Pelodiscus sinensis: one gene and its partners. The protein of the gene in region 2 interacts with the protein of the main gene of each other region in a biochemical or structural test. Links are inferred from orthologs where the notes say so. Each region holds a gene or a part of one and is shown on either strand. Other genes may lie near its edges. The genes, in order: UBE3A, UBE2D3 and TRIM25.

Region 1 (3,747 bases), on a different chromosome or scaffold from region 2:
AACCCAACCTTCCACCTGAGCCCAGCACTCCCTAGCCTGGAGCCCCCTCCCTGAGCCAGCATCCCCTTCTCCTGCATCCAAATTCCCTCCCAGAGCTTGCACTTCTCACCCCTTCCCACACCCAAATCCCTCATTCCCACCCCAGAGCCCGCACCTCCTATCTCAACCCAGGGAGAGTGGATAAGGGCTGGGGATGGCAAGTGATGGAGAGGAGGGGAACAGAGCAATGAGGCCTCAAGAAAGGGGGGGGCGGGTCGTGAGGAAGGAATGTGATTTTCATGCATTGGTGGGGATTTTCCCTCCCCTCCCCCTTTTTTTTTTTGCTTAACAAACCTAGGGGCTCCTTGAAATTCTGGAAAGCTGAAAAGGGTTCCTCGGCCAAATAAAATAGCGAAACACTGGCCTGGCCTGGCGTGTCCCCAATCCCCCCTCCCCTCTCTCCCGCAACGAGGCCCATCCAGCACTTGTATGCGGGGGAGGGAAGGGCCCCGCTCTAGGCGCTGCTGCGCTCACTTCCCACGGCTGCAGCTACCACTTGGCGCTGCTGCTGCGCCGGGGCCCTGACATTTGCCGGCGGCCAGTGGCGGGATTGGACATGGCGGGGGGGAGGGGCCGAGTCTCCTGAGCTGCCCGATCTGGCAGCCCCCGGAGAGCCGCGCGGCGAGGCCGTTCCACGGGCGGGAGGGTGGAGGCGACACAAGGCGCGCGGGGCTAACGGTCGAGCTCGCGCCGCTGCAGCCTGTTCCGGCGCGCGCGCACGTCACACCCCTCTGCGCGGGGCGGGGTTTGGCACCTCCCCCCTTCCTTACCCCTCAGGGCCCCTCCCCCACTCCCGGCCCCGCTAACTAGGGGGGTGGAGGCGACTGTAAGCGCGTCTCCCCTGGCGGCAGGAAACTGCCCGACCCCAAGATGGCCACCGCGACACCCGGCAGGGCCAACTTCCGTGTCCTTCCCTCCTCCCCACCCCCTGTCCAATGGGAAAGGTGGGGGACTCTATGGTTCCGGGCGGAAGGTAGAGCGTCCTGATCAGGAGCGCGGCGCACGCCGGGATACCCTGCTATGCCCGCGAGTCCTCCGAGGCTGCGCCGCGCCGATATTCGCGTTTCGCCCAAGATGGTGGCGCTGGGCTCGGGGTGAGAGAGGCTCAGAGCGGGCCCTGCCCACCTCCCCGGCCGACCGCCGCCACTGCCAGACCCCCAGCCCGCCCCGCCGGCCTCGCCCGCCCTCCGGAGCCGCCGAGGCCGCAGCTCCCGTCCCCGCGGCGCAGCCCGGCCCGGCCCAGGCAGCAGCGGCGCCGCCTCCCCCGCCCCGAGAGCAGCGCGGGCCCCGCATGAGCCTGGGGGCAGCAGCTGCAGCGTCAGGCCCGCGCCGGGGAGCAGGCCGCAGCGCACAGGTGCGTAGCGGGGCGGGGGGAGGCGCGGCCCGGAGACGGGCGCCGCGGGGCCCAGGCCCGCGTGTCCCTGCTGGGGCAGTTTCGCTTTCGTCGCTGGGCTTTGCAGGGAGGCCTCCGCAGTCGGGGTGGGGCGGGGATGGGGCGGTCGGCGGGAGATGGGGCTCAGTGGTGGCCCCGAGGCCGGCGGGTGCGGGGGTAGAGTGCGGGGTGTCCGGGGGTACATGATGTAGGAGATCTCCCAAACATGGGGCTGCTGCTTTGTGACTGGGGACGGGGGGTGAAGTGGAAGCACGACCCAGTGCTTTGGGCAGTAGCTGGGGCGACTTCAGGGCCCTGCTCTGTCACCCACTTCCTGTGTGACCTTGGGCACGTCACTTAGCCTTGCTGGGTAAGTCTGTGCGGCCTTTTGGAACTGACCAGGAGCAAGCGTCCCAGCCCGGGAGCAACAGGCTTTGGATAGCAGGGCTTGTTCTGGTGCTTTAAAAACTGCTGCATAGACAGTGCTTAGAAGTTGTGGTGTGGGCTGAAGCTGGGTTTTTGACACCCTGGCCTCCACCCTGACCCCGGGCTTCACAGCATTGTCCACTCACCTACTTTCAGTCTGTGAACCCAGGCCATGAGGCTTTCTTCTGTGGGTTCCAAATTATAAAGAACTGAGACACAATCTTTAAAGTACAACTGCTAGAGCTATAGACAAACTTTATTAAATTGATCAGTTGTGTGTATGTAAACTATAAACACAAACCTTAAATGCTGATCTTGTTAAGGTTGTTACAGCTAAGGAAAGCTTTCCTATACTTTCTTAGTAATTTTGTCTTGAGGTTGTAAGCATCTTTGGGCTGGAAATGTGTTCTGGGCATCACTATGTGATCTGACACCTGTGTGTATGGACTTCAGTGGGCCTCTGTGTACACACACACAGGCCTGCTAGAATCAATTTGCTGGATCTTAGTCTTATTGGTACAGGACATCAAACCTAAGGTATCTGTGGCGGGGGGAGTGGTGGAGGAACAGTTTTAGGGCAGAAATCTTGATGGGTTTTTTTATTGTATTTTATTGAGACGTGCCAAGCAGTTTTTGTGTGCTACCAGATAGAACAAGTAATATAATACATCATGTGAACTGAAAACACAAAAAAGCTGGGAAACAGAATCTGTATCTATTAAACCTATCATTTTATGATACTATGAAAATGTTTATTAGTGTGTGTGAACTGTAATCACATTTATCTTGTAACTTAAATCTCTCAAATGTTTGTATATGAAATTAATTTGAATGACTTTCCAAAATAACTTCCATCATATTGACTTATCTGAATATGCAGATTTTAATTATTTCTAATTCTTGTCACTTTTATTTGCACATTTCTGTCAGAATAACTCTAGTTTTGTGCCAACTGTTCTAATATTAAACCACTCTTAAAACAATTGATAATGATATCATAAGGTAATCTAGTGCACTACTCATCACAGTGGAGTTTAAAAGAAGATATTTGTTCTGTCTACATTTCTGTTTTCCATCACTACAGTATTAATACCTCCCAAAAAATTTTAAATTAAAATGCATAAGAATGGTAATACTGGCTTACACCAGTTATCCATCTAGCCCAGTATCCTATCTTTTAACAGTGACCAGTGTTCAGGTGCTTCAGAGGGCATGAACAGAATACAGGTGTCCCCCAACTTGTGACACAGTCAATTCCCGGGGAAGTGTCACAAGTCGGGGGCATCATAACTCAAACCCTCATTTGCGATAGGTGCTGTGTGCCATCGTAAACGAGGGGCTGAGGACAGACCTCTGGGATTTTCAGCCCCCTCCACTCTTACAACCATTTTTATAAGTACAGGGGTTATAACTTGGGCGGTCGCAACTTGGGGGTTTCCTGTAGATAATCAAGTGATCCCTTTGATGTCTTCTGTTCCCAGCTTCTGGCAAACAGGCTAGAGCCATTTAAGGGCATGATATGCATACCTGCTCAGCCATTGAAGGACCTCTCCATGAAATTATCTTGTTCTTTTTTGAATTTTGTTTTATTCCTGGCTTTCAAAATCGTTTGGCAGAGAATTCCACAGATTAACTGTGTTGTGTGAAGAAATCCTTCCTTTTGTTTGTTTTGAACCTGTGCCTCTTAATTTTATTTGGTGACCCCTAACTCTTGTGTTATGAGGAGTAAATAATACTTTCTTATTTATGTTCTCCACGGCAATTTTATAGACCTCTATTGTATCCCGCCTTAGCTATCTCTTTTTCAAGTTGAAAAGTACCAGTCTTATTTTTTTTTCTTTATGTAGAAGCCCTTCAATTACCCTAATAATCTTCGTTGCCATTTAGGGGTGTGAATGATGAACTGGTAT
Region 2 (3,747 bases):
TGGACAAGGAAGATGTGAGCCCCTGGACATATTTTTGTTATTAGTCATGTTTATTACAACAGTGCCTAACAATTATCAAGAACAACAATCAAGAATAAAGACCCATTTTGCTAGGCACTATAGATTGTATGGACTGTCTCCTATTATTTTATAATCTAAATAGACTTCTTGATACCAAATTATTTTTAAATATGTTCTAAGGCTCCAGTTAAAAAGAGACTCTAAATCTGAGATTTTAATGATTTATACTTCAAAAATTCCTCAGACCTACACAAGTCTGTGTTAAGGATGCATCTCATCTGCATGAGTAGTTGGTGACAAAGCATATCAGGGAGTCTCCCAACTGCTTCTTAATGTAAGTGATACCATCCACAGTTACAGTGAAAACAAGTTTGGTGGCAGGTTTAAAACACTTTCAAAATAGTTTCTGGTAAAAGTATAATTTTAATTAAAATCTACACATTCTCCTACTTAAAACTTAACAGTTTTGAATTTAAGAGTTTTGTTATTCTTGAGTGTGAACAGTAAATTAAGACACAGCAACAATGTTATATTCCTTTTAGTAAAAATATGTCCAGTTTCTGTAATATCTAAGAAAAAATATGACAAACCCCAACAACTATATTCAATTTGACATATTCATTGTATCATTTCAAGGCACTATGAGTTTCTGGTTGGTGACAAGCTGAAAAGTGACAAGGAGAAAATCATCTATCCAGTCTCAAAATATTTACAATGCCATAATGCTTTTAAGTACACATCAACAGCAACTCAGAGCTTAAGTAAGCTATTTAGCTGTAATCATGCTTGTCATTAGGACCCCAACTGTTGGGAAGCTTGGATGCTGCACTAAACACTAAATTATTGTTCACAGGAACGTCACAACTGAAATTGAGATTTATAAGTTACCTAACACCCACCTTCTGCCACTAACCTTGCTCTCTGGAAGGTTAAACTTCCATCACCTCAACATTTTTTTTGAGTTAGCTGTAAAGTTACTCCACCCTACAGGATTGTGCAAGAACGAAATGCTCAAAACATCACACAACAACGTCCTGCGCCCAAAGAAAAGGATGAGGTAAAAAGCCATCCCTCTACGACATCATGAAAGCCGAGGGTTTCTAGGGGAAGTGTAAACGTAGAGGAATAGGAGCAGCTGGTGTTCAGAGAGAGTCGACGGGAACGTGGACGTGTGTGTGTGTCATGTTATTGCAGAAAGCAAGAGACCCGGAAAGAGCCTGAACTAGGCAAACCCGCCGCCATCTTACAATGCGGGAAAGAAGTTAGACGCCAGGGAAGAGAAACCAATTTGGCCGGGAGGCGGATTGCCCCCTCGGCAGGAGCGAGCCCAGCCCGGGCTGTCGCTGCGATGTAAATAAAGCCACAGCACAGTCGGGCCATCGCTAAGAGCGGTAACGCAAGAGATGGAGGCGATTAGCCCTGCGGCTCGCAATGACACTGACATTTAGCGGCCCTGCCCCGGCCCTCCGGACACCCCACCACGTCCCCGCGGGGCCATGGGCTGCCGGCGGGTTCACCGCGACCTTCTCGGGGTCTGCGACAAAGAGCGCGCCGGGGCGACATCGCTCCCCCTCCCCAACTCGCCCCGCGCAGGCAGCCCGGGCCCCGGAAGGAGATCAGCCGCCCCCCGCCCGCTAGGCCCCCTGCTCCTCGCCAGAGACCGGGGCGGAGGGAGTCACTCGCCCCGGCCGGAGACCGCCCGCACTCCCCAGCCGAAGCCGGGGCGCCGCGCACACCGCAGGCGACAGGGCCTGTCCCCGCGGTGCGGGACGCAGAACCCCGAGCCCCAGCGCCGCCTCCCCGGCCCGCCCCTCGCTCACCTTGTTGATGCGTTTGAGCGCCATTGTGTGTGTGTTGCCGCCGCCGCCCGCCGGGCCTGTCTCTGCGCCGCGGTGACTCCGGGCTCCGCTCGCGTTGACGGGGAGGGGGGGCAGTTGCGTCTCTCCTTCCTCCGGAAACAGCCAGGGGCGCCCGCTCGCAGGGAGCGCAGCCGCCCACAGCCTCCGCCCGACGGGCGGGTCCGGCCCCTTCTCCGGAGATCGCCTGGCTGCCACCGCCGCCGGCCCGCCTCGGAGAGGACAGACGATGCGCTGAGCCTCCCCCACCACGGGAGAAACCGAGCTCAGCCCCCGCGCACTCCCACCACCGGTGGCGAGGCCGAGAAAGAAAGGAGGGGCGAGCAGGCACCGCCCCCCGCTCCCGGGGCGGGCCACTAAGGAACCTCGCCCAGAGCCCCCCCTTCCCTCTCACTGGAGCGGGGAGGGACGCGCTAACCGCCGCTGCCGCCTGCGAATCCGCGCACGCGCTACTGAAACTAGTGGGGGGGGGGGGGGTAAGACAGCCCCAGGCTCGTGCAAGGCCGGTGCACGCACCTTCTATAGTTGCGGGTGGGGTGTGAAGAAGAGGGAAGGCCAGAGGGGTGACTCTCGCGAGAGTAAGACTGCAGGCGTCCCAGATCTGGGGGCGGAGACCGAACGCCGCTTCTCCAATCAGAAGGGCGTGCTCCCCCTCTTCGCGGAGGCTGTGACACAGGGGCTTCCGGCGTACGAGACCGGGCTAATTTCCCCCATCTCCCTACGCTTGAGTGGGCGGTTTGTCGGTTATGGAGAAATCCCCAGAGCGAAAGCTCTTGCGGGGCCTTCGAGTCTCTCGTTGTACCCGGCTCGTCGTGGTCACTCGCCCGTCCCCGCCTCTGGGGGGGGAGGAGGGGAGTTCGTCTGTGCGTGTACACAAAATGGCCGTCGCGACCGGATCTACGTTCGTGAATCGCTAAGGCGCAGTACGGCGCTGGTATCCCTCCGCGCAGCCGCTGCGAAGGGGAAACAGATCCCAGTAAGGCCAGAGGGGGCGAGCGAGTGGCAGGGATGCCCCTCCCCTTCCTGTTTGTCTCGCGGGCCCTCGGGTGTGTTTCCAAGTCCGTGTAGACACAGCGGAGCACGTCGAGGTCGGGCTCGTCCTCCGCTGGCTTCACTCGTCACAGCCCTGCGGTTACTGCTGCTTCGCTCCGGCCGGGCTGCGGGGACACCGCTCGCAGGAGGAGGGCCCGTGCCCCACGCTGCAGCCTGGTCCTGTCCCCCGCCTTCTTCCCGCTCGCTCTCTCCCACCCCCACTGTAACCGGGCTGGGGTGGGACAAGGCCGCAGGCCGGGGACGAGGGATGTGAGAGCCAGGTGGAGAGTCTGAGGCGAAGCGGGTCGGAGCGCTGGAAGGCCCCAGGCTGTGGGGTGGGCGGGTGAGGGGGAGGAATGGATTCAGGTTGTAGGGTGGTGCAGGCCGGGCTGGAATGTGGGAGTGTAGGCTCTCGGGTGGGGGGGGGGCTGGGGAAGAGGAGTTTGAGGTGCAGGATGGGATGGGGCTAAAGTATTCAGAGGGCCAGGAGAGTTTCCAAGCTGGGGCAGGCAGAGTGGGTTGTGACGCCAAGGGCAGTGCATGTGGGAGGGAGCTTAAACGTGGGGCATAGAGTGTAGGAGATGGTTTGGAGTAACAGCCCCAGGTTGTGCTTACCTCAGGTGGCTTCTGGGAAGTAGCTAGTATGTCCCTCTGGCTAGATGGTGTTTTGGCCATGCAGCTCTATGTACCACCTCTATCCACATGCACCGCCCCTGCTGTTTCCACTGGCCAGAGTTCCCAGCTCATGGAGTTGCAGAGCTGGTGCTGGAGGCAGTGCATGGAACTCCATGGATGTCCCTATGCCTAACAGCCAGAAGGATATGCTGGCCAGCTGCAC
Region 3 (3,747 bases), on a different chromosome or scaffold from region 2:
TCACTCCTTGGCCTTTTCCCCAGACAATCCAACACAAGTCCTAACTCATGCTGGGTCCGGGAGTGCTGTTATAAGAAGGGCAACCTATGAATGAGATTGAGGCCACCCCAATCATTACTAGGGATGTGAATGGTTAACTGGTAAGCCTCACCCTTAATGAATCAGTGTTGGTTAATTGGTAGGGGCTGGAGCAGTTTGGGCAGGGAGCTGCTCCAACCACACGGGGCCCACCATAAAGAGGCACTGCTTGCTTCCTCCCGCTCCTCAAAAGCCCTTAATACAGCTCGCAAAGATCCAGCAGCTAAAATACGTTAACATAGCTCCCTACAAGCTTGGGATTAGACTGTCCCTCTTAGGCATCCTTAGCACTGAAGAATAACGGAGGCCTCCTATGCCAAGTTCGAAAGCAGTGCCACTTCCCCCATAACAGCTAAAGCCTGAATAATCCAAGCCTCATTTGCTACTAGGTTGATTCACACATATACAAAGCTCCCACTGTGCCCATGTGCTCCAGAGCCTGGCTTGTATCCTGATGGTCACAAGCTGTTCTCTTAGAAAAGGAACAGGAAGAGAGAGAGATTTTACAGGCATCTTACACATTACAAAGATAGCTTCCCCAATTATCACCTCTAATACTATTAACTCACAGACATTTCCCCTTCCCCACCTCTAATATCATTAACTCACTGGCATTCACCTTCCTTCCCCCCCCCCCCCCCCACATCCCCCTTCTGTTCTGCAATGTGATTTGTCCTTTTCATGTGTGTTCATTTTTTTTTAAATTGTATCCTTTGGTATATATGGTTGTGACTGTTTTCTTCCATTATTTGATCTGAGGAAGTGGGTCTGGCCCACGAAAGCTCATCATCTAATAAACCATCTTGTTAGTCTTTAAAGTGCTACATTGTCCTGCATTTTACAGGCAGTGCAACTTAAAAGCCAGACCTCTGAAGTTTTGTTAGACACTAAGGCTACGTCTAAACTACACCCCTCTGTCGGCAGAAGGATATAAATTAGACACATCGAAAGTGCAAATGAAGCGGGGATTTAAAAATCCCATGCTTCATGTGCATAATCGCATCCTGGCGCAGTTTTGAACAAGCGCCATTTCGAAACTGAAACCACGGTTTAGACATGGTGTTTTGGAAAAACTGCGTTTAAACCACGGTTTCCGTTTCGAAATGGCGCTTGTTCAAAACTGCGCCAGGACACGATTATGCAAATGAAGTGCGGGATATTTAAATCCCCACTTCATTTGTGCTTTCGAAACGTGTAATTTACATCCCTCTGCTGACAGAGGGGTGTAGTTTAGACACACCTTAAGTCTGTGTATGGTCCTGATGGTACTTTTAGGGCCTGCAATCCCTATCACCACAATCTGCTGTTCCTAAGGCCTGTCCAGGATCTTGAGAAGGATGAATGGTGCATCTTCTAAGACAGGGATTCTCAACCTTCTTTTTGACCCCTCCCCAACAAGCTATACAAATTCCACAGCCCACCTGCACCACCACAACTATTTTTCAATACATAAAAGCCAGGGCTGGCAATAGAGGATAACAAGCAGGACAAGTACAACACAGGGGGCACCCCGAAAGCTGAATAGCTCAGACTTCAACTTCAGCACCCAGTTGGTAGATCTTGGGGTCCCAGGCTTCTGCTCCACACAATGGGGCTTTAAACTTGCTGGGGTGCAGAGCAGAAAGTCTGATGCCTGCCCTGATTGGTGGCCCCCTGGAATCCTGCTCAGAGCATGCTCCCCCCCACCCTAGACCCCTGGCTGAAAAATGCTGATCTAAGACAGTGCTCTCAAGTGCCAGACCATGGACTGGGGCCAGTCCCTGAGCTCTCTGATTATCAAATAGGTTGAGAAAGAGGGCAGATGTTCCGTAGGTGGGAGCAGTCAGAGAACAGCAGCGCAAACACAGCCCAGGGGCAGAGTTCCCTGTAAGCTGGGTCACTCAGGAGAGATCCCAACACCTCCCAGCTGATCAGCAGAGCGCTCACTAGCGAGACTGCGTGTTTCTACTGGTGGTGCATGCACATGCCTGGGTGCGCATCAAAATTATTCCGCACGGGGATGGGAGAGATTAGAGGGAACATTGCTAGGAGTCCCATGCAAGAGGTTCCAGAGAAGGGTCCCGGCCAGTGCTGATCAGCACCTCTGTCCAGGCATCCCCCTCCTCTCCCATCCCTCCTCACCTCCTTCTCCGCCTTGGCCTCCTGCACGGGGCTGGTGGCACAGGTCTTGTGGCTGACCAGGCACACGCAGCAGATGCAGGTGGCGTGCTCGGGGCAGTAGAACTCCAGCAGCTTGTTGTGCTGCTGGCACTTGCGCTGCTGCAGGTCGCGCAGGGGCAGGCGCAGCTCGTGGTCCCGGAAAGCCGGGCTCTCCTGGTGGGGCCGCAGGTGCTCGTGGCAGAAGGAGGCCATGCAGGTGAGGCAGGTCTTGGCCGCCGCGGCCTCCAGGCAGGTGTCGCAGGGCACCTCGGAGCCGCTCCCCTCCCGGCATTTCTTCTCCTCGGCCGGCTCGCCGGGCTGCGAGCTCTGGAACTGCTCCACCACCCGGCACAGCACCGTGTTCTTCTGCAGCTCGGGCCGGCGCTGGAAGCTGGCCCGGCACTGCGGGCAGCTGAAGCCCTGCTGGATGCCGCTCCAGGTGACATCTAGGCAGGGCCCGCAGAAGTTGTGGCCGCAGGGCGTGGTGACCGGGCAGTCGAAGAGGCACAGGCAGATGGAGCAGGTCAGCTCCTCTTCCAGCCCGGCCAGGCAGGGCAAGGACGGCGCCCGCAGTAGCTCCGCCATGGCTCCTGCCACGACCTGGGCAGCTGGGGATGGAAAGTGAAACTCAAAGCAGAGGCGGAGCAGCTGGAAGTTCCTGGAAATCACGTGGAAGGGGGAAAGTTCAGCGCGGGGGGGCCTCCCTAGCAAACCCCTCCCTGCTAGGCGCTCAGGCTGCAAACTTTCTCCCATTTCTGCTTATTTACGCTCCCCCTTCCGCAGCCTGGATTTTCTGGTGCGCAGTTCTGCAATGTATTGACTTTCCTCTTTACATAGAATCACAGGGTTGGAAGAATAGTGATAGAGATGTAGCCGTGTTAGTCTGGGGTAGCGGAAGCAAAATGCAGGACAATGTAGCACTTTAAAGACTAACAAGATGGTTTATTAAATGATGAGCTTTTGTGGGCCAGACCCACTTCCTCAGATCAAATAGTGGAAGAAAATTGTCACAACCATATATACCAAAGGATACAATTAAAAAAAATGAACAAATATGAAAAGGACAAATCACATTGCAGAACAGGAGGGGAATACAGGGGGGGAGAAGGAAGGAAGGTAAAGTGTCTGTGAATTGATGATATTAGAGGTAGGGAGAGTGGGATGTTTGTGAGTTAATGGTATTAGAGGTGATAATTGGGGAAACTATCTTGGTAATGAGATAGTTCAAATGTTTGTTGGAAGAGACCTCAGATGGTCATGGAGTCCAATCAGCTGCTAAAAGCAGGACCAATCCCACCTAAACCATCCCAGAAGCTTCAGGGGGTAGCCCAGTTAGTACAGGATAAACTTAAAAAACAACAAATGGTCTGTAGGATTTTATAGACGAACAAAACATAAGATGGTATCATGAGCTTTCCTGGGCACAGCCCACTTCTTCAAATGACTGGAACTCCGGTCATCTGAAGAAGTGGGCTTTGCCCACAGAAACTCATGATACCATCTATACGTTTTGTTAGTCTATAAAATGCT

The links.
Region 1: the proteins of UBE2D3 (region 2) and UBE3A form a complex in vitro, tested with the Homo sapiens proteins (5 studies listed by BioGRID, with this or other methods). The link is inferred for Pelodiscus sinensis from reciprocal best matches to the Homo sapiens genes UBE2D3 and UBE3A.
Region 3: the proteins of UBE2D3 (region 2) and TRIM25 form a complex in vitro, tested with the Homo sapiens proteins (3 studies listed by BioGRID). The link is inferred for Pelodiscus sinensis from reciprocal best matches to the Homo sapiens genes UBE2D3 and TRIM25.

What each region holds. Positions count from the first base shown.
Region 1 is NC_134711.1:227,996,100-227,999,846, forward strand, and holds the start of UBE3A (ubiquitin-protein ligase E3A), read left to right. Parts: upstream 1-1,021; 5' UTR 1,022-1,393; intron 1,394-3,747. UniProt on the Homo sapiens protein: E3 ubiquitin-protein ligase which accepts ubiquitin from an E2 ubiquitin-conjugating enzyme in the form of a thioester and transfers it to its substrates.
Region 2 is NC_134715.1:25,177,670-25,181,416, forward strand, and holds the start of UBE2D3 (ubiquitin-conjugating enzyme E2 D3), read right to left. Parts: upstream 2,370-3,747; 5' UTR 1,866-2,369; coding exon 1,842-1,865; intron 1-1,841. UniProt on the Homo sapiens protein: Accepts ubiquitin from the E1 complex and catalyzes its covalent attachment to other proteins. In vitro catalyzes 'Lys-11'-, as well as 'Lys-48'-linked polyubiquitination.
Region 3 is NC_134730.1:18,911,992-18,915,738, forward strand, and holds the start of TRIM25 (E3 ubiquitin/ISG15 ligase TRIM25), read right to left. Parts: upstream 2,907-3,747; 5' UTR 2,803-2,906; coding exon 2,200-2,802; intron 1-2,199.